Cricetulus griseus: one gene and its partner. The protein of the gene in region 2 purifies or fractionates together with the protein of the main gene of each other region. This does not show direct contact. Links are inferred from orthologs where the notes say so. Each region holds a gene or a part of one and is shown on either strand. Other genes may lie near its edges.

What was found. Proteins that work in one complex are often made in the same cells at the same time.
Region 1: the proteins of Tox4 (region 2) and Ppp1cc purify together in Homo sapiens (affinity purification with mass spectrometry; 4 studies listed by BioGRID and IntAct, with this or other methods). This does not show direct contact. The link is inferred for Cricetulus griseus from reciprocal best matches to the Homo sapiens genes TOX4 and PPP1CC.

Annotation. Positions count from the first base shown.
Region 1 is NC_048597.1:102,004,010-102,014,484, reverse strand, and holds the start of Ppp1cc (serine/threonine-protein phosphatase PP1-gamma catalytic subunit), read right to left. Parts: upstream 5,139-10,475; 5' UTR 4,917-5,138; coding exon 4,862-4,916; intron 1-4,861. UniProt on the Homo sapiens protein: Protein phosphatase that associates with over 200 regulatory proteins to form highly specific holoenzymes which dephosphorylate hundreds of biological targets.
Region 2 is NW_023276807.1:207,372,907-207,383,402, forward strand, and holds the start of Tox4 (TOX high mobility group box family member 4), read left to right. Parts: upstream 1-4,964; 5' UTR 4,965-5,101; coding exon 5,102-5,107; intron 5,108-5,294; coding exon 5,295-5,363; intron 5,364-10,496. Other genes in the region: Rab2b (ras-related protein Rab-2B), read right to left, coding at 4,366-4,437, 4,659-4,704. UniProt on the Homo sapiens protein: Transcription factor that modulates cell fate reprogramming from the somatic state to the pluripotent and neuronal fate. In liver, controls the expression of hormone-regulated gluconeogenic genes such as G6PC1 and PCK1.

The DNA of each region.
Region 1 (10,475 bases), on a different chromosome or scaffold from region 2:
AGCAGCTCTAGCCAAAAATTTCAAGGATGCCTCTTGTTTTCTATGCCAAACACAAAGCAACACACTGAAAACAGCGTATTTAGCCTAAACCAGGTATTGGGCCATCACCTCTGCAAAGTCATCCTTCAGGTGGGAGGCAGGAGGGTCAAAGAGTCCAAGGTCATTCTCAACTACAAAGGGAGTGGAAAGGCAGCATTAGAATATGTCTTGAAAGAAAAAGGTTGAACCTATCCACAGCTGAACATAATTGGGCATCAGTACCTTGCCCATCTGATCCTATGAATTTCTCTTTAGGGCTCTTGGGTAAGCCCTAAAATTACTCACACCCTTCAAAAATGGAGGGGGAAACATCCACAGAACCTATGAAGGCATATCTTGCCTCCACCCTCCTGACACACAGTTATGACCTCAAGATGAAGACAAAAATTCCTTCCAAGCCAGGCGTTGGTGGCGCACGCCTTTAATCCCAGCCCTCAGGAGGCAAAGGCAGGCGGATCTCTGTGAGTTCAAGGCCAGCCTGGTCTCCAGAGCGAGTGCCAGGATAGGCTCCAAAGCTACACAGAGAAACCCTGTCTCGAAAAACCAAGAGAAAAAAAAAAAAGGATCTGCTTTCTTTAAGGGGCCTCTGTGGGGTTTCTGTAGCTCCAAGGCAGTCCCCACCTGGGCCTTTCTCCCTCATATTTTTAGACTGAGAAGTATACCAGCAGCCCCAGCATTAATCAATTAAAGCCTAGGATTGCCCTGCTACCCCACGTCCCCCAAGCAAAGGGGCAGTCAGACTCTGGGAGTCATCCTTGCCAAAGTGGGTTTTTAAAAAAGGCCCCAAAGTACCTGCAGATCATGAGGGAAGGGAGGGAGTCCTGCTCTGCCTTCCAGGTGAGGGATGGGGGGGACACACCTGTCCATGCTGGGAAGCACAGGAAGTCCCTGTTAGAATTATCTTGCTGTGGACTCTGCTCAGTTTTAAGATCTGCTTCAATACAGCCAAGCCCATGGTCCTCACTTATCTTTCCTATAGGACCTTAACTACAGGCTTCTGAACCTACAGAACAGGAGCACTGAATAGCCACACACAGATTTGGAGACTTTTAGGACTTCAGACTGTCTTCAGAAAGATGAGAATTGGCAAGCACTCTGTATTAACGCAGCCACTTCTCCTGACCTTCCTTTACAAAAACATACTTTTTAAAAAATGGGTTTTTCATGACAGGGTTTCTCTGTGTAACAGTCTTGGCTGTCCTGGAACTCACTGTGGAGACCAGGCTGGCCTCTAACTCACGGTCTGCCTCTGCCTCCCAAGTGCTGGGATTAAAGGTGTGCACCACCATGGCCATGGCCTGGCTAAGAAACACACTTCTTGCCCACTCAAGATGTGAAGCAATTACAAACACTTAGTACTCAAGAAAAATGCTAGAGGTTTCACGAAGAAAGTGCCCCAATTCCACGCACTCCCCCTTTAACCAATACAACAGAGCAGGAGGCCAGGCCAAACCCAGCTAGCCTATTTCCTATTTAAATCTGTTCTGCTTGAACATAGAGCTGGCAACGTGCTAACACCAGAATGTGCTATAGAGTAACAGACCTTCCATCAGAGTAGCTGACCACACAGGGACGGGGCTCAGGAGAAAGCTACTGCAGTTAGAGTGCTGCAAAGCACTAGTGTTTACCATCCAACCCCAATTTCCCATTATTTGTTTTGTCAGACAAGGTCTCTGTGGTCCAAGCTAGCCTTGACCTCCTGATTCCACCTAAGTGCCTGGGACTACAGGTTTATACCATGTCACTATTTAGCCTTGGGTGGCCTGGATGGAATTTATTCTGTAAACCAGGCTGGATTTGAAAGTGTTCCACCTGCTTCTGCTTCCCAGTACTGAGATTAAAAATGTGTCACCATGTCCAGGTTAAAATTTATCTTTAATCATCTGTCTGTACAAGTTACGACATGTATGTATGTATGACATGTATGTATCGGGGGGCCAGGTGTCTCATCTTCTAGAGCTGGAATAGCAGGCACTGAGCTGCCCCATGTGCTGGTAATTGAGCTTGGATCCTCTGGAAGAATAACATGCTCTTAACCATCTCTCCAGCCCTTGATTTTTTGAGACAGGGTCTCACTATGGATAGCTGGCTGGCATGGAATTTGGTGTGTAGACCAGGTTGGCCTCCCAGCTCACCGCTCTGGGATGAAGGAGTGTGCCACATGGCCACACCTCATTATTAAAGACCCTGTCCCATCTCGTTCATACAGCCCTCGCTTGCAAAGCCCTTTCTCAGCTCGTTCATAGCTCTTAAGTTTGGGAGTTCTTGAGGAAGGGTTCCAACTGTGAGACAGATATTGCTATCCAACACAGCCTGGCCTAGAATGTCTGCATTTCCGTGTCCCAGGCTCCAGAGTGTTGGGGCAGTAAGGTGCCCAACTACAAAAGAATCAATTATCAATTGGAAAAAATGCCTCATCAAGTGACAAATCTTATCTCCACCTTTTGGAATTAAACCCTGAATTTCATTTTACTATGTAGAGGTGTGCAAGTACACACTTGCTGGGAGCGTTTGGGGAGGGAGGGAAGCAGGCGAGAGTCTGGTTCTCCTCTCAAGTTCTTGTGGGTCCTGAGGATCAAATCAGGTCTTCGTGGTTAAGGGCAGAGCCACTAATTATCAGCTGAGCCATCTCTAGAGTCTATGAATTACTTAAATCTCACTCCCAGTGTTCAGAGATGACGGCCCTAAAGATGGTACACAAAGTAGAGAGAGCACAACACCACATTCTCTAATGGAGAAGCACACACATCCTCAACAGAAGGCTGTGGTTTTGTTAAGTTCACATACAGAAATAAGAAGAAACATATACTGTGCAACTAGCTTATTCTCAAAGCATTTAAATATAGTATCCTACTCTATTAAGTTCAAAAGAAAATAAAAAACCAGCCTGGACATGGTGGTAAAGTCTCCAATTCCAACACTTATAGGAGGCAGAGGCAGGCAGATCTCTGTAAATCTCAGGTTAGCCTTTGCTTGGTAGTGACACTCAGTCTCAAAATTTAAAAAGTAACATTCAAGAAACTATAGGGGCCCATCAATGGTGGCACACACCTTTAATCCCAGAGCTGAGTTCAAGGCCAGCCTGATCTATGTAGAAAAAAGCTGTCTTCAAACCTGTTCCCCCCATAAAAAAAAAAGAAAAAAGAAGGGGGGGCTGAGGTGATGGTTCAGCAGCCAAGAGCACTTGCTGCTCTTGGGGATAACCCTGGCTACGCTCCCAGCACAGATAGTGGCTCACAACCATCTAACTCCAGCCCCAGAGGACCCAATGCCCCTTTCTAACCTCCTTGGTTATAGGCATGCATGTGGTAAACACATACATATGAAGACAAAGCTTAAAACATAAAATCTAAAAACAAAAATTTTTAAAGGGGGAGAAAGGAAAGCTGATGAAGCAAGCCTACACAAAGATAAGAACAAACTACACACACCCAATTGTCCTCTAATCCCGGGTGCTGTGGCCTGGGTGCACTCACACACATCCCATGTGAAAAATAAATTTAAAAACAAAAGATGAGCCAAGTTTACTGCTAAAACTTTTTCAGCATAGTGTTAAACATAAAAAAAAAAAAAAAAAAAAAACACAACGAAATCTGAGCTGGGGATGCAGCCCAGGTGATGGAATGCTTACTCAGCGTGTAGGAAGAAGCCTTGGGTTCAATCCTCAGGACTTCATAACCCAGGCTTGGTGGCTTATAACTTCTAGTACTTGGGAGGAGGCACAAGGATCAGGAGTTCAAGGCCAGTTCTGGCTCTGTGGGACTTTATCTAGGGGAAATGATGATAAAAGCCTTTAATCCCCAGCACTCAGGAAGGGGAGGCAGAGGGATCTGAGAGTTTGAGGCTAGCCTGATCTACACACATCGAGCTCCAGGACAGCCAGGACTGCAGAGACCCTGTCTCAACAAAGCCAAAAACAAAAAAGACCCGATCTAAACAAAGCAATAAAATAAAGTATTAGGGGAGAAAATGCACAGATTAAAAAGACACTTTTTACTTTTCTTTCAATGACTCTGCAGCTGTTCACCACCACCACTCACGGCATGTTTCTTACACGCCAACAGTATTTTAGGCAAAAGCAGCAAAAGCCAGCTAGTTAATAACATTGTCAAGAACCCAATCAGCATTAGGTCGGGAATTGTGGGGAGTCCCTATGTCATATTAATCTCTCACCAACTAGGAACCCACTGCAGCGCCCCCCACCCACCCCGTCATAAGTCGGACAAAAGAAAAGATTTTTAACCTTCCCTTAGCCACTAGGCACGCATGCCCTGCGCTCCCACAGGGTGAACAGTGGAAGAGGGCAGGCAGGTCGTGTCTAGACCTTGGCTACCAGGGGTTTGAAGCGGGACTCGCCCTTGGTCAGGCGAGGTCTTTTAAGTTTCTTCCAAGATAACAGCACCTACCTGGCAGGGCGCTCGCTGAATGCAGCAGCGCGCCCCTCTCCTCGGGACAACAATCTGATGAGCAGAGAGCCACAGACACTGTCACCCCGGTCGCGGCTCGGCCCGTGTGCGGATGCACGTTCAAGGGGAAAGAGCGCCGGAGGGAGGATGGCTTTTTTTTGGGGGGGGGGGATGCAAGGGACGGGGCTCTCGTCGCCCCGGGACGTCGCCCCGCCAAGTCACACTGGGTCCTTGGACTCCAGATTTATCACAATGTGAGAGCAAGGGCAGGAGAGGCAGTAATAAAAACAAGGGGTCTGTCCCTAGACCCGGAGGCGCTGTGTGCGCGCCCCAGATCCAAGCGGCTTCCGAGGACCGGTCCCCACCGGGCCTGGTCCCACCGGCCCCGCCCGCCCGCCCGCCCGCGCGCCGCTCACCTTCCAGCAGCCGTTGGATGATGCTGTCGATGTTGAGTTTATCGATATCCGCCATCGCCGTCCTGCCGCCGACCCTCCCGCAGCGGCGCCGCCGCCGGCTCGCGCCCGGGCCTCACACGTCCTCCTTCCTCACGCCACGAGCCCCACGAGCGGTGGTGGCGGCGGCGGTGGCAGCAGCAGCCGCGGCGGGTCCCCCCCCCAGCCGCCCCGCTCCCGGCTTCCTCCTCCTCTCGCCACTGGAACCACGAGAAGAACAAAATGGCCGCCGACTCGTCAGGCCAGCCTCGGGCGGCGCACGGATGCGCGCGCGGGGAGTGCAGCGGCGGCCGGGACTTCAGGCCCATAGGGCGCGGGAGGGCGGGGCCGCTGCGGGAGGGGGCGGCCTTCGCGCTTCAGGGGCGGGGCCTGGCAGAGACGGTGAGACACCCATCCGCGCGCGGGATCCTTCCGCCAAACGGGCGGGGGGTGGGGGTGGGGGACGGGAGTGGAGGGTGGGGCGGGGAATAGACCCCCACCCCCACCCTCCACCCCCCCGCCCCCACCCCCACCCCCACCCCACCCCCCGCGGGAGAGTGAAGTTGCAAAGTTGGCGCGCGCGCGAGTTAAAGACGGGTATTGTCCGGCGGCTGCTCGTTGCTAGAGTTAAGATCTCCTCCCGGTGCTGCTGATTTGGGGCAGATGTCTGCAGACTCGGCGGGGTGGGAGCTCACCAGGGAGTCAGTCACCCACCCCTCGGAACCAATCTGGGTTGGAGATGTCCATGGAGGATCTTTAGGAGAAGGAAGTTGGAGGGTCGAGGATTCAAATATGCCGGCTCATATTGGTGAGCAAGAAGAGCTGTATGTATGACTCTGTGGTATGAACGCTTGTCTAGTATGTGTGAGACCCTGGGTTCAATCCCCAGCACTGCCAAGATTTCGTAATACTGCAATAAAGTATCTAAGATCCAGTATTTGAAAAAAAGAAAGCCTCCCCCAGATAAAAGAAACGTTAGTCCATTGTGAGTAGTGCATAATTCAGTAACTGTGTACCTCTTGCGTGCACTTCTGCAGTTTTACATTTTAGGGAGAGGTTGGGAGACTTTTGTAAGGTGTCACCTATCTTTAGATTATCTTTCTTGAACTCAGAAAGTTATATAATAACCGTGATGTTCTCCCCTGGATTTAGCCTGAGCTGGATTGAATGAGCGCACGGCAGCAGATAAGATGGGAATTTGCGGAGGAAAGCGAGTTAGAGGCTGCTGTGCGCCCCGGGCTTCAGCACATTCTACTGCTGCTTGCCTCTGGTTTCATCGCCTCCCCGAGGGCACCCTTCTCCAGGGAGCCCCCAACTGTGCTGCCTCTCAGGCTAACTGGATCTGAAAATGCACACCCACCTGACCCATTTCTCTCTCCAAGCAGCCCTTCACAGTTTACAAAAATCCTCTTCCCCACCCCCCACTCCAAAAGCTCATGATTCTCAAAGCAAAAGGGATGCACGGATTCCCTTCCGTGTGTTCCTAGCAAGGTGGCTTCCCCATCTGGAGATTCATTTTCACCAGGCCACAGCAGCATGGCATGGGGTGCACCCTTGCAGATCTCTGGCCTCCTTTCTGCTGCTGGCGCCAACGGTGGAGCTTCTGGAGTCATCCCAGCTCCCCTCAACTGCCTGCACCATTTTACTCAGTCACCAACTTACTCTCCCAAGCTATGTTTTTGCCTACCAGTCCCACAAGTGTCATTTGTCACTCCAAGGCACCTGGCTCAGTAGACATCTTGACGTCTGGGGCCTATGCCAAGCCCTGCTGTGAATATCTTGTTTGGCTCTCAAGGAGTTTCTGGGACTTGGGCTCCTCTGGGGCAGAGTGTATCTTCCCAATGACACTTTGGGGACAGGGATATAAGACGGTTCCCTAAGGAGACAAATATTTACAGAGTGCCTACTCTGTTCCTGAGTTTTTTCTAGGCGTGGAGCAGGGTGAACAAAACAGAGGAAGCCTTTCTTTCTGAGGAAATTCATATAGAGACACTGCACTCTCATTTGTATGAGCCAAAAATTGTCTCGTTGTGCGAGCCAGCTAAATGGCTCAGTGGGTAAAGGTGATTGCCACCAAGCCTGCCAGCCCCAATACCCTAATGAAGAGAGGTTGTCCTCTGACCACCAAGCAGACATATATACAAAATAAATAAAATGTAATAAAATATTTTAATAAAAAAATTACCTCCAGGCTGGGCATGGTTGTATATGCCTTTAATCCCAGCACCGGGAGGCAAAGGTAGGCATATCTTTGTGAGTTTGAGGCCAGCTGCAGGCTAGGCAAGGCTCCAGAACAAAATCTTGTGTCAAACAAAGCAGAATCACCTCGTTGAATCCCCAATACAATCCCAGAGATTATATATCCCCATCATTCCCATTTTACAGATAAAGCTAGGCATAGAAAGGCTAGAAGGTTTGTTGAAGGTCACACAGCTGGTAAATTCCAGGGATAGCCTGAATCCACAGTCTTTTGTTTAATTAAATCCCTAAATGGAGCCTCAGGAGCCCAACAAACTGTGGCACACACTGTGTGCATTACTATGGGGAAACCAATGGAATACTCTAAATTTTATGCCCACACTGTCATAATTCTCTAGATGCCAAGCAGTAGGTGTGTAGGTCACTCAATCCATGCTCGGATAAAGGAAAATAACAGTGAGCCAGTACAGGGGACAATTTTTTGTCTATCAAGCAACCTCAAGGGACAGTTCCCCTCCAGAGTCCATAACCATGCCAGCATCAGAGAATTGGCTCTCTTGAGAGTGGTGGAACCCATAGCTGTTAGAGAATGACCTTCAGCTACTCCTCCTCCTGCCTCCACCTCCAGAATGTTGAAATTCTAGGTATGGCTGCCAAACCTGCTCTATTCCATACTAGAAAGAGCCCATGCCAGGAGACCACTCTACCAATACCGCCACATCACAGTCCCTATAGGAAGTCTGAACATACAGATTTTTGTTTTGTTGTGTTTTGTTTTCTCTGTGTAACAGCCTTAGCTCTCCTGGAACTCACTCTGTAGACCAGGCTGGCCTGGAACTCACAGAGATCCACCTGCCTCTGCCTCCCAAGTGTTGGGATTAAAGGCGTGTCCCTGAGAACATACAGATTTTTTAAATCTATATTTAAATCAATAGATCTGTCTGGTCTACAGAGTGAGTTCCAAGACAGCCAGAGCTGTTGCACAAAGAAAACCCTCTTGAAACAATAAACAAAGTTGGAGACGGCTCAGCGGTTAAGAGCACTGGCTGCCCTTCCAGAGGTCTCAGGTTCAATTCCCAGCACCCACATGGCAGCTCACAAATTGTAACTCCAGTTCCAAGGGATCTGATGCCCTCACACAGACATGACTTCAGGCAAAACCACAATGTACATAAAATTAAATTGTTAAAAGGGAGTTGCTGGAGAGATGGGTCATTGGTTAAGAGCACAGGACTGCTTCCTTCCTGTGACTCTGCTTCCTGGCCACCATGCCGCCATGAGCAGGCTAAGGACCAACAAGGAAGATCCTGATAAGGAAGTGCAAAGTGGTGTGGCCTCCTAAGGAAGGATACTCTGATATCATCTGCTTGCCTCTAGCTCCCTCACTGGATCCTGAAGAGTGGCATGGACTCATAAACTAAGGAATCTCCCCCTCTCCCAGGAGAACATCCAGGCCCTTCCTGATAAGGCCACACCAAACTCCATTGGTAATTACAAATTTGAGACTGCAGGGTAACAAACCTGTGAACGGAATCTTTCACCCTAGAAGCTCCTCTTCCCATACCCACCCCCACCCCCCATGCACAAGACCCATTCCCCTAAGAGATCGCTGCCCTTGTTCACATTGAAGGTCGTTTTCTTATTTTGTTTTATTCCCTGCCTCCATCGGACCGATGTAACAGGGCCCTCGAGGCTCTCTGTCTTGTTACCATCCCTCAGGCTGTGGGATCTGACCCGCTTTGACTGGGAACTGCTCTACCCCTGAGCTCCACCTCCCACCCCATTTCACTGATTTACTGAAAAGCCACAGTCTCACAAAGTTGCCAGGCTGACCTTGAATTTGTAGTCTTCTGACCTCATCGTCCATAGCAGTTGGAATGACAGACCTACCCCACCTGATCAGACCTGATTGCTAAAATATCTTCACCAATGGCAAAGAAACCCTGTCCCATTACCAGTCACCTCCCATCTTCTACTCTATCTCCTGGTAACTTCCAATCTGTTTCCTTTCTGTTTTGGTCTATTCTGGACATTGAATTTCATATGCTAGGTGGCTGTTCCTATCTTGCTACTAAGCAGAAACCTCGACATGCACCAAAGCTATGTCCATTTGTGTGACATCCCTTCATTTGCTAGTTCACATCCTTTTTTAGAAGCATAGGAACCCACAGTCAGGAATTTTTTTTTTAAGATTTATTTTTATTTTATGTGCATGCACTTTGGCCTGCATGGAGGTCAGAAGAGGGAATTGGGTCCTCTAGAACTGGTGTGATAGATGGTTATGAGCCACCATGTGGGTGCTGGGAATCAAACCTAGGTCCTCTGGAAAAGCAGCAAGTGCTCTTAACCACTGGGCCATCTCTACAGCCAGGAATGTTAATTGGCTGCCTCGGGTCCCAGCAGGCATGTGTTCCTTTTCCTTCCTATTTTAAATACTTATTTAATTAACTAGTTATCTATCCTTGTGCTCATGCTTGCCACAGCACATTGCAGAGGTCTGGGGACAACTTTTTGGTGGTGGTTTGTTCCAGGTCTCTCTTTGTGGGTCCCAGGAACTGAACTCATAACTGCCAGGCTTGCAAAGTAAGGGCTTCCCTTCCTCCCTCCTTTCTTCCCCTTTTTCCTTTTGAGACAAGACTTCACTATATAGCCCTGGCTGTCCTGGAACTCGATCTGTAGGCCAGGCTGGTCTTGAACCCACAGAGATCCACCTGCCTGTCTCAGTGGTACGTGCCACCACTCCCAGTTGAATGTGCTTGCCTAGGATGGATGGAAGGTGTCTCCCTCAGTCTGTTAGCAGACATTTTGTCCTTTCCCTTTTGAGGACTGGCTGTCATTTTTGTTTGGTGTGGTTCTGGAGGGGATATGGCTCAAACAGTAGAGTACTTGCCTAGCACAAACAGAGCCTAAGAGCCATCCCCAATTCCACAGAGGGGAGTATAAACAGGCATGGTGGTAGATGCCTGTGATCCTAGCTCTCGGGAAATGGAGATAGGAGGCTCATAAAGTCAAGGCCTTTAATCCCAGCACTCGGGAGGCAGAGGCAGGCAGATCTCTGTGAGTTCGAGGCTAGCCTGGTCTCCAGAGCAAGTGCCAAGATAGGCTCCAAAGCTACACAGAGAAACCCTGTCTCAAAAAAAAAAAAAGTCAAGGTTATCCTTGGCTACATAGTGACTTTGAGGCTAACCTAGGCAACATAAGGTCCTGTCTCAAAGTAGAAACAAAAGTTATAATCTGAGATAGTTAGAAAAGAAAGAACAAAAGAAAGAACAAAAAAGAGCAAGAAGGGAAACATGAAAAAAAAACTTAAGAAAAAGCACCTCCTGGGACAGCTCTCCTGCCCATTATTCCAGGCATTTGGGGATGCCATAGCCCTCTGTCCAAACTTCCTCAGCGATGC
Region 2 (10,496 bases):
ATGTCCCTGGATTCAATCCCTAGAACCAAATAAAATTGAGCACGGGGTTGGAGAGATGGCTCAGTAGTAAAAGCAAAGCACGTGCTGCTCTTGTAGAGGAACAGAATTTGGTTTTCAACACCCTCATCAGATAGCTTAGAACTTCCCTTAGCTCCAGCTCCAAGGGATTCCTTTCCTAGACTCCATGGGGACCTATACACACACACACACACACACACACACACACACACACACACACACACACACACACACACACACACACCAAAACCCCTTAACTGGGCATGGCAATACATGCCTGAGATCCCAGCTCTCAGGAGGTGGAGGCAGTAGGAGAACCAGGATCAGAAGTTCAAAGTCACCATCACTTGCATAATAAACTCAAGGTTGGCCTGAGGCTGCACAGGTTTTAAAAAAAATCACTTTCTACAGCTGTGTGTATAATTCAGTGGTAGTGCAATTGCAAAAGATGTAAGTCTCTTGGTTTAATCCCTAGCACCCAAAATAAGTAAGTGGATTCTAAGTGATAATATACCCAAATGTAGATAAGGGAATAAAATATTCTCACTGTTCTGATTTTACAATCAGGGCAAAATTTACTGTGTTAACACCCTAGTGAGGAGGGCAGAGCCAGAGAGATGGTTCAGTGGTTAAGACCATTGGTTGTTCTTCCAGAGATCTGGAGTTCAATTCCCAGAAACCACATGGTGGCTCACCACCATCTATAATGAGATCTGGTACCCTCTTCTGGTGTGCAGGCAGAACACTGTATAATTGTAAATAAGTAAATCTTAAAAAAAAATCAATGCATATAAAATAAATAAATAAATCTTAAAAAACAAAAAACAAAAAACCCTAGGGGGCTAGAGAGATGGCTCAGTGGTTAAGAACACTGACTGCTCTTAGAGAGAACCAGAGTTTGGCTCTCAACTACTTGTAACTCCAGCTCCAGGGAACTCAACAATTTCTGGACCCTGCAGATACATGTGCAAATAGATATAGATATACATTCAAATAAAAATAAATCTGAGGGGGGATGGAAAAGACCATGTGTGTGTCCCCAAGGCTAGTTCTTTCCCTAGGTCTTGTTTTACAAATTCTGGTAATAAACTAACACAATCAGTTGATTTATTATAAGGCCTTATAATAATGACTAAGATTCTAGATTATCTTTATGAGCCTTAAGAAAAGCGACAGATGTTGGGCAGAGGTGGTGGTGCACATCTTTAATCCTATCACTTGGGAAGCAGATACAGGCAGATCTTAGTGAGTTCTAGGCCAGCCTGATCTACAAAGTGAGTTCCAGGACAGCCAAGACTGTTGCACAGAGAAACCCTGTTTCAAAAAACCAACCAACAAACCAAACAAACAAAAAACCAAAACCTAAACCCAGAGCAGTTACTATAACAATTTGCAAATAATGTCTGCAGAACCTGTATCCACTACAAAGTAAGTTCCAGGACATCAAAGTTACACAGAAAAACCCTGTCTCAATGAAAAACAAGAGAGAATGTACAGCCACTGTAGGGAAATTTTTGTGATAAATAGTTTCCATTAAATGAATTATAAAGCTACAATTCATAGAAAAAAATTGAGAAAATTTGCAATTATAGGAAAAATAAAACTAAAAAATAGATAATTAATTTTTTCTTTTCAGATTCATTTATTTGAGGCTGGAGAGACAGCTCAGCAGTCAAGAGCATAGGCTGGTCCTGTAGGAGCCTGGGGTTCAATTCCCGGGATCCACATGCAGCTCACAACTGTCTGTAACTCCAGTTCAGGAGATCTGACACCATCACAGAGACATGTATGTGGGCAAAACACCAACACACATAAAAAATCTTTGAAACAAAGATCTATTTGTTATGTATGCAGTGTTTTGCCTGCATGTATGCTTGCACACCAGAAGAGGGCACCAGATCTCATTATAGATGTTTGCACCCCCAAGAGGTAGATAAATTTTTAGAAATGTTATACTGAAATCTGACTATGTAATATTTAATTCAAAGGACTTCTAAACTGTTTGAAAGTTATTTTCTAGCTGGGCTTTGGTGGCACACGCCTTTAATTCCAGCACCTGGGAGTCAGAGGCAGGCGAATCTCTGTGAGTTCCAGGCTAGCCTGGTCTACAGAGTGAGTGCCAGGACAGCCTCCAAAGCAATACAGAGAAACCCTGCTGGAAAAAACAAAAAGTACTTCCTTTATTTTTAAGATTTATTTATTATATGCAGTGTTCTGCCTGCATGTATGTCTGTGCACCAGATCTCATTATGGATGCTTGTGAGCCACCATGTGGTTCCTGGGAATTGAACTCAGGATGTCTAGAAGAGCAGACAGTGCTCTTAACCTCTTTGCCATCTCTCCAGCCCAGTATTTCCTTCTTTCTTTTTTAGGCTTTTAAAGTTTTATGCATGTAAGTGTCTGCCTGCATGTAAGTATGTGTGCTACATGTGTGCCTGTTACACCTCCATGTGGAGGTCAGAAGAGGACAACAGATCCTTCTGCAACTGGAGTGACAGAGATTATGAGCTGCCATTCAGGTGCTGGCAATTGAACCTGGCAAGAGCAGCCAGTGCCCTTAGCCAGGGCTAAGTCATCTCTCCAGCCCCCTTGAAAGACTTTCTTGGCAGTGTCTCAGAATACCCACTAGTTCTATGTATGAAGCAGGACTTCTTTACTATAATTCTGAAATTATTTTCATTTGCAATTAAGAAAGTTGCCGGAGGCAGGCGGATCTGTGAGTTCAAGGCCAGTCTGGTCTACAGAGCAAGTTCTGGGACCACAAGGCTGTCTTGAAAAGCCACAGAAAGAAAGAAGGAAAGAAAGAAAGGAAGGAAGGAAGGAAGGATTATTAACCAGAAATAGCCTATCTCAAAGCAGTTTGGAAACTGGCAAACTGATAAGGCTTTTGACATTCTTCTATTTCAAGGTAAAATTCACCTCAATATTTCAAAAACAGTCCTGTTAAAAACATTGCATCATAAGTCAGACAATTCCTCCCCTTTTCTATTTTCATACAGTATTTTGCACATAGCACAAGGAATTCAGATTTTCAAGATTACTAATCTAGTTTACCTTCAGGAATGCTATAATACCAATTCAGTCATCCTATGTAGATATCCTTTCCCTATATAGAATATTTCTACTTTAAGGTGCTATAATCTATAAGAAAGATATAGAAATCGCTTCTGGCTATTACCTCAATAAAAATCAAAAGTTACTTTTTGAAAAAACATCAGTCAATTTTTCTTTCTTTCAGAAAAGTTAAGAATGTAATTTCGGGGGCTGGAGAGATGTCTCAGAAGTTAGGAGCACTGGCTCTTCCAGAGGACCTGGATTCAATTCCCAGCACCCATATGGCAGCTCCCAACTGTCTGTGACTACAGTTCCAAGGAATCTAGCACCCTCAAACAGAAGGTAAAACACCAATTCATATAAAATAGAAATAAATTATTTTTAAAAAGAATGTAATTTTAATGAGTAAGAAACTAAAACACTGGGGCTGGAGAGGTGGCTCCAAAGTTAAGAGCACTTCACTGCTCTTCCCGATGCCCTGAGTTCAATTCCCAGCACCCTCTTCTGGTGTGCATGAAGACAGAGCACTCATATTCATAAAACACACACACAAATAAATAAATAAACTAAAACAACAACAAAAACCAAACAAACAAAACAGGCTGAGCACATCTAATCCCAGCATTTATGAGATGGAGGCAGTAAGATCAAGGCCTGTTCAAGGTCATCTTCAGATTACTCATGGAGTACAAAGCCAGTCTTCAAAAAACAAAAACAAAAACTTATTAAGCCTGTGATGGTGCATGCCCCTAATCACAGCACTTGGAGGCTGAGGCAGAAGGATATCTGGGAATTCATGGCCAGTGTGGAATACAGAGTGAATCTGAGGCTAGCCTGGACTACATAGCCAGAACTTGTCTCAAAAAAGAGGAGGAAGGACTGAGATGACTCTTAAATTGGCTTTATCCTCTCCAACACAAAAAGAATCGATGTCGGAGTTTACTTCGAAAAACATGTGAGGTTGGTAGTTAACCACAAACTACAGATGAGTTTCTGAATAAGCAGTTGTGTTTTCGTGGGATTTTTTTTTTTTTTTTGCAGAAACATACAAGTTGCATTTAAAGAAAAATTCCTATGACAACTAGTGTTTATCTCACATCCCTCTCTAACGTTACCTTTCCATTATTTACCCTCTATTTACCGGCTTCTATCATTTTTCATATGGCACGGCTTAGGTCTAAGGCGGGGAGGCGCAACTTTTTCCTTAGAATACTGAGACTGTTAACTTTCTCCTTCAGCAGTTCAGCCAGCCAGCTTTTATCTATCTGTTCTGGAACGAGGGGATACGCTTACCTATTGTGAGGTCGTGCACAGGCTGGAACCGCTTATCGGTGAACTGCAGGAGGAGACATGACTTCCCCACACCTGAAAACAGACAGTGCGGAGTAGGCACGCCACCCGGGAAACCGCGGGCTCCCAGGCGGGGCACAGGGTCTAAGGAAAAGACAGAGCCCCGCCCCCGGAGTTCGCCCCGCCCCCTCCGCGCCACTCCGCTCGCCCGGCCCACTCGTCCCGCCCCGCCCCCAGGCCGATTTTGGAGGTGGGATCCCCGCCCAAGCCCCGAAGGCGGTCCACCTGCGGGTTACCTGTGTCTCCGATGATGATGTACTTGAAGAGATAAGCGTAAGTCATGGTCCCGAGGCGTCTGTGTTCCGGTCCGCCTGATTTCTACAGCCACTTACCTCCGTCCTCTCTAGCCACTCACTCTACCGATCTCCTTATTTGCCTCCGCTCCAGCCCTTCTAGCTCAGGCCGCGTCTCTATTGCTCTCCCCAGAAATCCTCCCTGGATCCGGAGTACCCGACGCCGCCTCTAGGGCCGCCCCGCGCTCTTCTACATGCCATTATCCCACCAAGCTCCAGGGGGCGACAGCGAGCCTTCGGGCAGCTCGAATCGCGACTGGTTCGGCCAGGACTCCGTCCAATCAGCGGAGAGCGACGCTCCTCTTTGAGGAAGTGACGCGTTCGGAACCCAGTGGGTCCGGTGGGAGCGATGCGGACACTGGGACGCTGGTAGTGGTGCTGTGAAGATGGAGGTACGCGCGGGGGGTCTGGAGGGTTGACGAGCAGCGCGGCCGACTAGATGGAAGCAGAAGCGGGAAGCCGGACAGCGGGGAGCGAGGGGTGCTCGGGAGGGCTGGGAGGCCCGGGGTCCCCGCGCGCCCCTGCTTCGCTCACTTATCCCCGTGGCTTTTTATTTATTTATTTGTTTTTGGTTTACAGTTTCCCGGAGGAAATGACAATTACCTGACCATCACTGGGCCCTCGCATCCTTTCCTGTCAGGGGCCGAGGTGAGCAAAAGCTGCCGACGCTGGGGCGCGGGAGGGCCTAGGCAGCGGTTGGGGCCGGACGGTGGGGGAGAGCGCGGGGGCGGACGGGAGCTGGGGAGGACAGTGGCCGAGGCTTCGAGAGCCTCTGAGGACTCTGAGCGGTGCGGTGGGGGGACGAACGGGAAGCGTCTGTCATCAGAAAACCAGGATGTTGAAGAGCTTCACTGCCTGTTTAAGGAAGGAGTCCGGTTCTGAATGTGGAGAACGAGTGGGATTGTCTGCCCTGGTTCGGGTGAAGTAGTTGCAACAATCTTGGGAAGATAGCAAGGAAGAAATTTGTTTTTTTTTTTTTTTCAGTAAAGAAAACCTGATAAGAAAGTAGTTTATGTAGCAGGGGTTAACCTCGGACAGGTGTTAATTCTTGAACTCTGTAAGTGGTCTTTTAAACTTGAAATTTCTGATAAAAGTGGCTACTTTCACCAACGTGGTTTCTGCTCGCTTTGCTAATGAAGGATAGAAGGAAAGAAATAGCCGCCAGAGAACATAAAAAGAGTAGAGTATACCTTGTTTGCCAGTGAGTACAAACTTTGAGCAGATAACTTCACTTTTGGATCACAGTTGTCAAGTTAACTATAATAATAGGGTTTGTTTTGTTTTGCCTTTTTTTTTTTTCCTCCAAGCCAGGGTTTCCCTGTGTAGATTTGGTGCCAGTCCTAACACTCCCTCTGTAGACCAGGCAGGTCTTGAACTCTCAGAGATCCGCTTGCTTGTTTTGCTTTTTAAAGATGGTGTGAAGTAGAAATAATGATTGATGGAGACTGTAAGACAGCAATTCACAACCGGTGAGTCAGGACCCTTGGGGAGTCGAGTGACCCCTTCACAGGAGTTGCATGCCAGATATTTACATTGTGATTCATAACAGTTGCAAAATTACAGTGTGAAGTAGCAACAATATAATTTTATAGTTGGGGGGTCATCTCAACATGAGGAACTATATTAAAGGGTCACAGCATTTGGAAGGTATTCGTCATCTCTGGCAGTCTGCTAGTTTATTTTTTAATTTACAATTATTGAATGTTTTCCTAAACAAGGGAAAGTGTGATTCAAATGAATGGCAAAATTGGAAAGAAACTCAATCTTGAACTTGTTCCTTCCAAGTGAGGTTTAGTTTTATTGTTTGAAGTGCCATAAATCTCATTGTCATTATTCATAGGAAAATGCATTTAAAAAGCAAATACAAGCAATTACAAATGTAGTGTTACACACCTTTAATCCCAGCACTTGGGAGGCAGAGGCAGGTAGATCTCTTTTGAGTTTGAGGCCATCCTGGTCTACATAGTGAGTTCCAGAACTGCTAGAGCTACATAGAGAGATTCTGTCTCAAAAAAAAAAAAAAAAGTAAACACAGTTTTCAAATTCATCCCACCAGCCCTTTTTATGGAGTTGAATAGTCAAAAAGCAGTTACATGAGAGATGGCACCTTTTACATCCAGGGAGCTATGGCTGGATAGTGGAGCCTTCCACCTGCTGTGTTCCAGAACCTTGATCTACGGCACTGACCGAAAAAGGAAGGAAATTTCCAGGCTTTCATCAGCCCTTCATTTTTAGTGAGAGAAGGGGACGCACAACTAAATTTTTTTTTAAAGATTTATTTATTTATTTATTTATTTTATCTATTATGTATACAACATTCTGCTTCCATATATATCTGCACACCAGAAGAGGGCACCAGATCTCATTGTGAGCCACCATGTGGTTGCTGGGAATTGAACTCAGGACCTCTGGAAGAGCAGTTGATACTCTTAACCTCTGAGCCATCTCTCCAGCCCACACAACTAAATTTTAAGCTTAATTTCAGTAGCTTCCTTTAAGCCTAGGTACTGCTATTGGGTTTGTTTTTTTGTTTGTTTTGAGACAGGGTTTCTCTTTGTAGACCTGGCTGTCCTGGAACTCACTCTGTAGACCAGGTGAGCCTTGGACTCTTAGATCTGCCTGCCTCTGTCTTGAAAGTGCTGGGTTTAAAGACCAACACTGCCTGGCCTGTTAATTTACAACTCTTACTCCTTCTTATTTCTATCCCTCTTGTGGTGAATTTTTTTGTTTTGTTTTGTTTTTCGAGACAGGATTTCTCTGTGGCTTTGGAGGCTTGTCCTGGCCTACTAGCTTTTGTAGACCAGGCTACAGGAACTCACAGAGATCCACCTGCCTCTGCCTCCCGAGTGCTGGGACTAAAGGCATGTGCCACCACTGCCTGATAGTGGTGGTGAATTTTTAAATTATTTTGTTTTTGTTTTGAGGGGATGGTTTCACTATGTAGTCTTGACTTGAGTCAAACTCAATATGTGACCTGGCTGGCTTTTTATCTGCCTTTGCTTCCTGAATACTGGGATTAAAGGTGTCTTACACACCACCATGCCTGGCTTTTAATCTTTTTTTTTTTTTCTCAGAGTTTTTTTTTTTTTTTTTTTTTTTTTTTTGAATTAGAAACAAGATTGTTTTATATGGCAATCCCAGTTCCCTTCTCCCTCATCCTCCCTACCATGCTCCCCTCCCCAACTAAAACCCTACCTATCACATATCCTTTCTGCTCCTCCTGCATGGTGAGGCCTTCCATAGGGTGTCATCAGAGTTTATCGTATCCTTTGGGATAGGGCCTAGGCCCACCTGGCTTTTAATCTTTACATTAATGGGTGTAAAAGTTTTGTTGTCTTCGGTCTTACTTTGAGCCTTGTGAATAACTTAAAAGAGGGTGACTTTTTTTTTTTTTTTAAGCAATCCTTTTTTTGAAGAATGGTAGTTTTTCAAGTTGTTTTTTTCCAAAAAGAACAATAGCTGCTCATATAGGATACCAACCATAAAATAATTGAAAAATTCCATTGTGTTCAAGTTAGGAACTCTATATCAAAAGGCATCGTTATAGGGCTAGAGAGATGGATCAGCGGTTAAAGCACTGACTGTTGTTACAGAGTATCTGGATTCAGTTCCTAGCATCCACACGATAGGACAAAAAGGCCTGTAACTAGTTTTCACACCCTCTTCTGACCTCTGTAGGCACTGCACACATGCAGAACACAGGCATACATGCAGGCAAAACATTCATTTATATAAGTAAAAATAAGTATTGCTGCTTTTTTTTTTTTTTGATGGCATTGAGGCTAAAGATATTGCTGAGAAATTTAAAGCCTTTGTTGCTCTTACAGAGGACCCAGTTTTAATTTCCAGCATACACGTGGTGGTTCACAACCATCTATAACTTCAGTTCCAGGGGATTTGATTCTCTTTTCTAGCCTCTGTGAGCACTAGACACGAATATGGTGCTGATACATACCCATACATATAAACTAAATCAAAAGGAGTGATGGCAAAAGCCTTTAACTCCAGCACTTTTCAAGGCAGAAGCAGGCAGCTATCTGTGAATTCAAGGCCAGCCTGGTCTTCAAATTGAGTTCCAGGACAGCCAGGACTGTTATGCAGAGAAACTCTTGTCTTAGAACCTCCTCCCAAAAAAAGACATTATAACTACATGTATGAAATTTGTGTTTATAAATAAATTATAATTACATGTACAGAATTTCATATATGAAATTCTGAAAAAAATTAGAAAAGATATCATTAACAAATAGGAGCTCTAGAAGAGAAGATATTTATAATACTCACATGTAAGTCATATTTAGAATATATGAAGCACTAGTACAGTTTGAAAATGAACACGTTTGGTTTTTTTTTATAATCTATTTTTATTTCTTGTACATTGGTGTTTTACCTGAGTGTATGTCTGTGTGAGGGTGTCAGGTTCCCTGAAACTGGCGTTACAGCTGTGAGCTGAATTGAACCTAGGTCCTCTGGAAGAGCAGTCAGTGCTCTTAACTGCTGAACTATCTCTCAGTCCCGAAAATGAACAGAAATTTCAACAGTCAATTCACAAAGAGTCCATCCAAACTGCCACTAGGTATATGAAAATTTTCCATTTAAAAGAATGAGGAGTGTCAGCGGGGCCGTGGTGGCACATGCCTTTAATCCTAGCACTTGGGAGGCAGAGGCAGGTGGATCTTTGTGAGTTTGAGGCCAGCCTGGTCTTCAAAGAGAGTTCCAGGACAGTCTCCAACCCTACAGAGAAACCCTGCCTTGAAAAACCAAAAAAAAAAAAAGTGTCAGAGAGAAAGGAGTAGTATTATTGCACTGCTTCAGATAGGAAGCTTGTGTATTTGCAGATTTAGTCTTCTGTTTCTCTCCGTTTGGTTGGCTCATAGTGCTTTGTATGTGACCACTACTTTTAATCCCAGAACTCAGGAGGTTGGGAGGGGGGCAGTTCTCTGCCTTCCAGGCCAGCTAGTCTATTTCTGTTATATCAGATTTTCTTTTCAGTTTCATTGTTGGCTCTTATGAGATAGGGTCTCATCTAGCCAAGGCTGGCCTCCAATTCCCCATGTAGCTGAAGGTGATGCTGACTTTCCTAACCCTTTGGTTTCTACCTTCCAGTTCAGTGGTTCTTTAACCTGTGGGTCTCAACCCCTTTGGGGGTTGAACAACCCTTTTACAGTTCATAACAGCAAAATTACAAAGTAGCAATGAAGATAATTTTATGGTTGGGGTCACCACACAGGAGGAACTGTATTAAAGGATTGCAGCATTAGGAAGGTTGAGGACCACTGTTCTAAGTGCTGGGATTGTAAGTGTGCATCGTCACACCTAGTGTACTGTGTTGTTGTTGTTAGTTAGTTGTTTTTTTTTAATTATTTTATGTGCATTGGTGTTTTACCTGCATATATGTCTGTGAGGGTCCCCTGGAACTGGAGTTATAGACAGCTGTGAGCTGCCATGTGTGTACTGGGAATTGAACCTGGGTTCTCTAAAGAGCAGTCAGTGCTCTCAACTACTGAGCCATTTCCAGCCCTGTATTCTATTTTTAAAAATAAAGTTTTTTCAGGACAGGGTTTCTCTGTATAGCTTTGGGGACTGTCCTGGAACTCTCTCTGTAGACCAGGCTGTCCTCAAACTCACCTGCCTGCTTCTCTGCCTCCCAAGTGCTAGGACTAAAGATAGTGACTCCACTGCCCGGCTTTAAAAATAATTTTAAGGATCCATAATAACTACATTATAGGATAAATTAGGTGTTAATGTCAATTTCTTTAAAATGAATATACAAGAAATTTT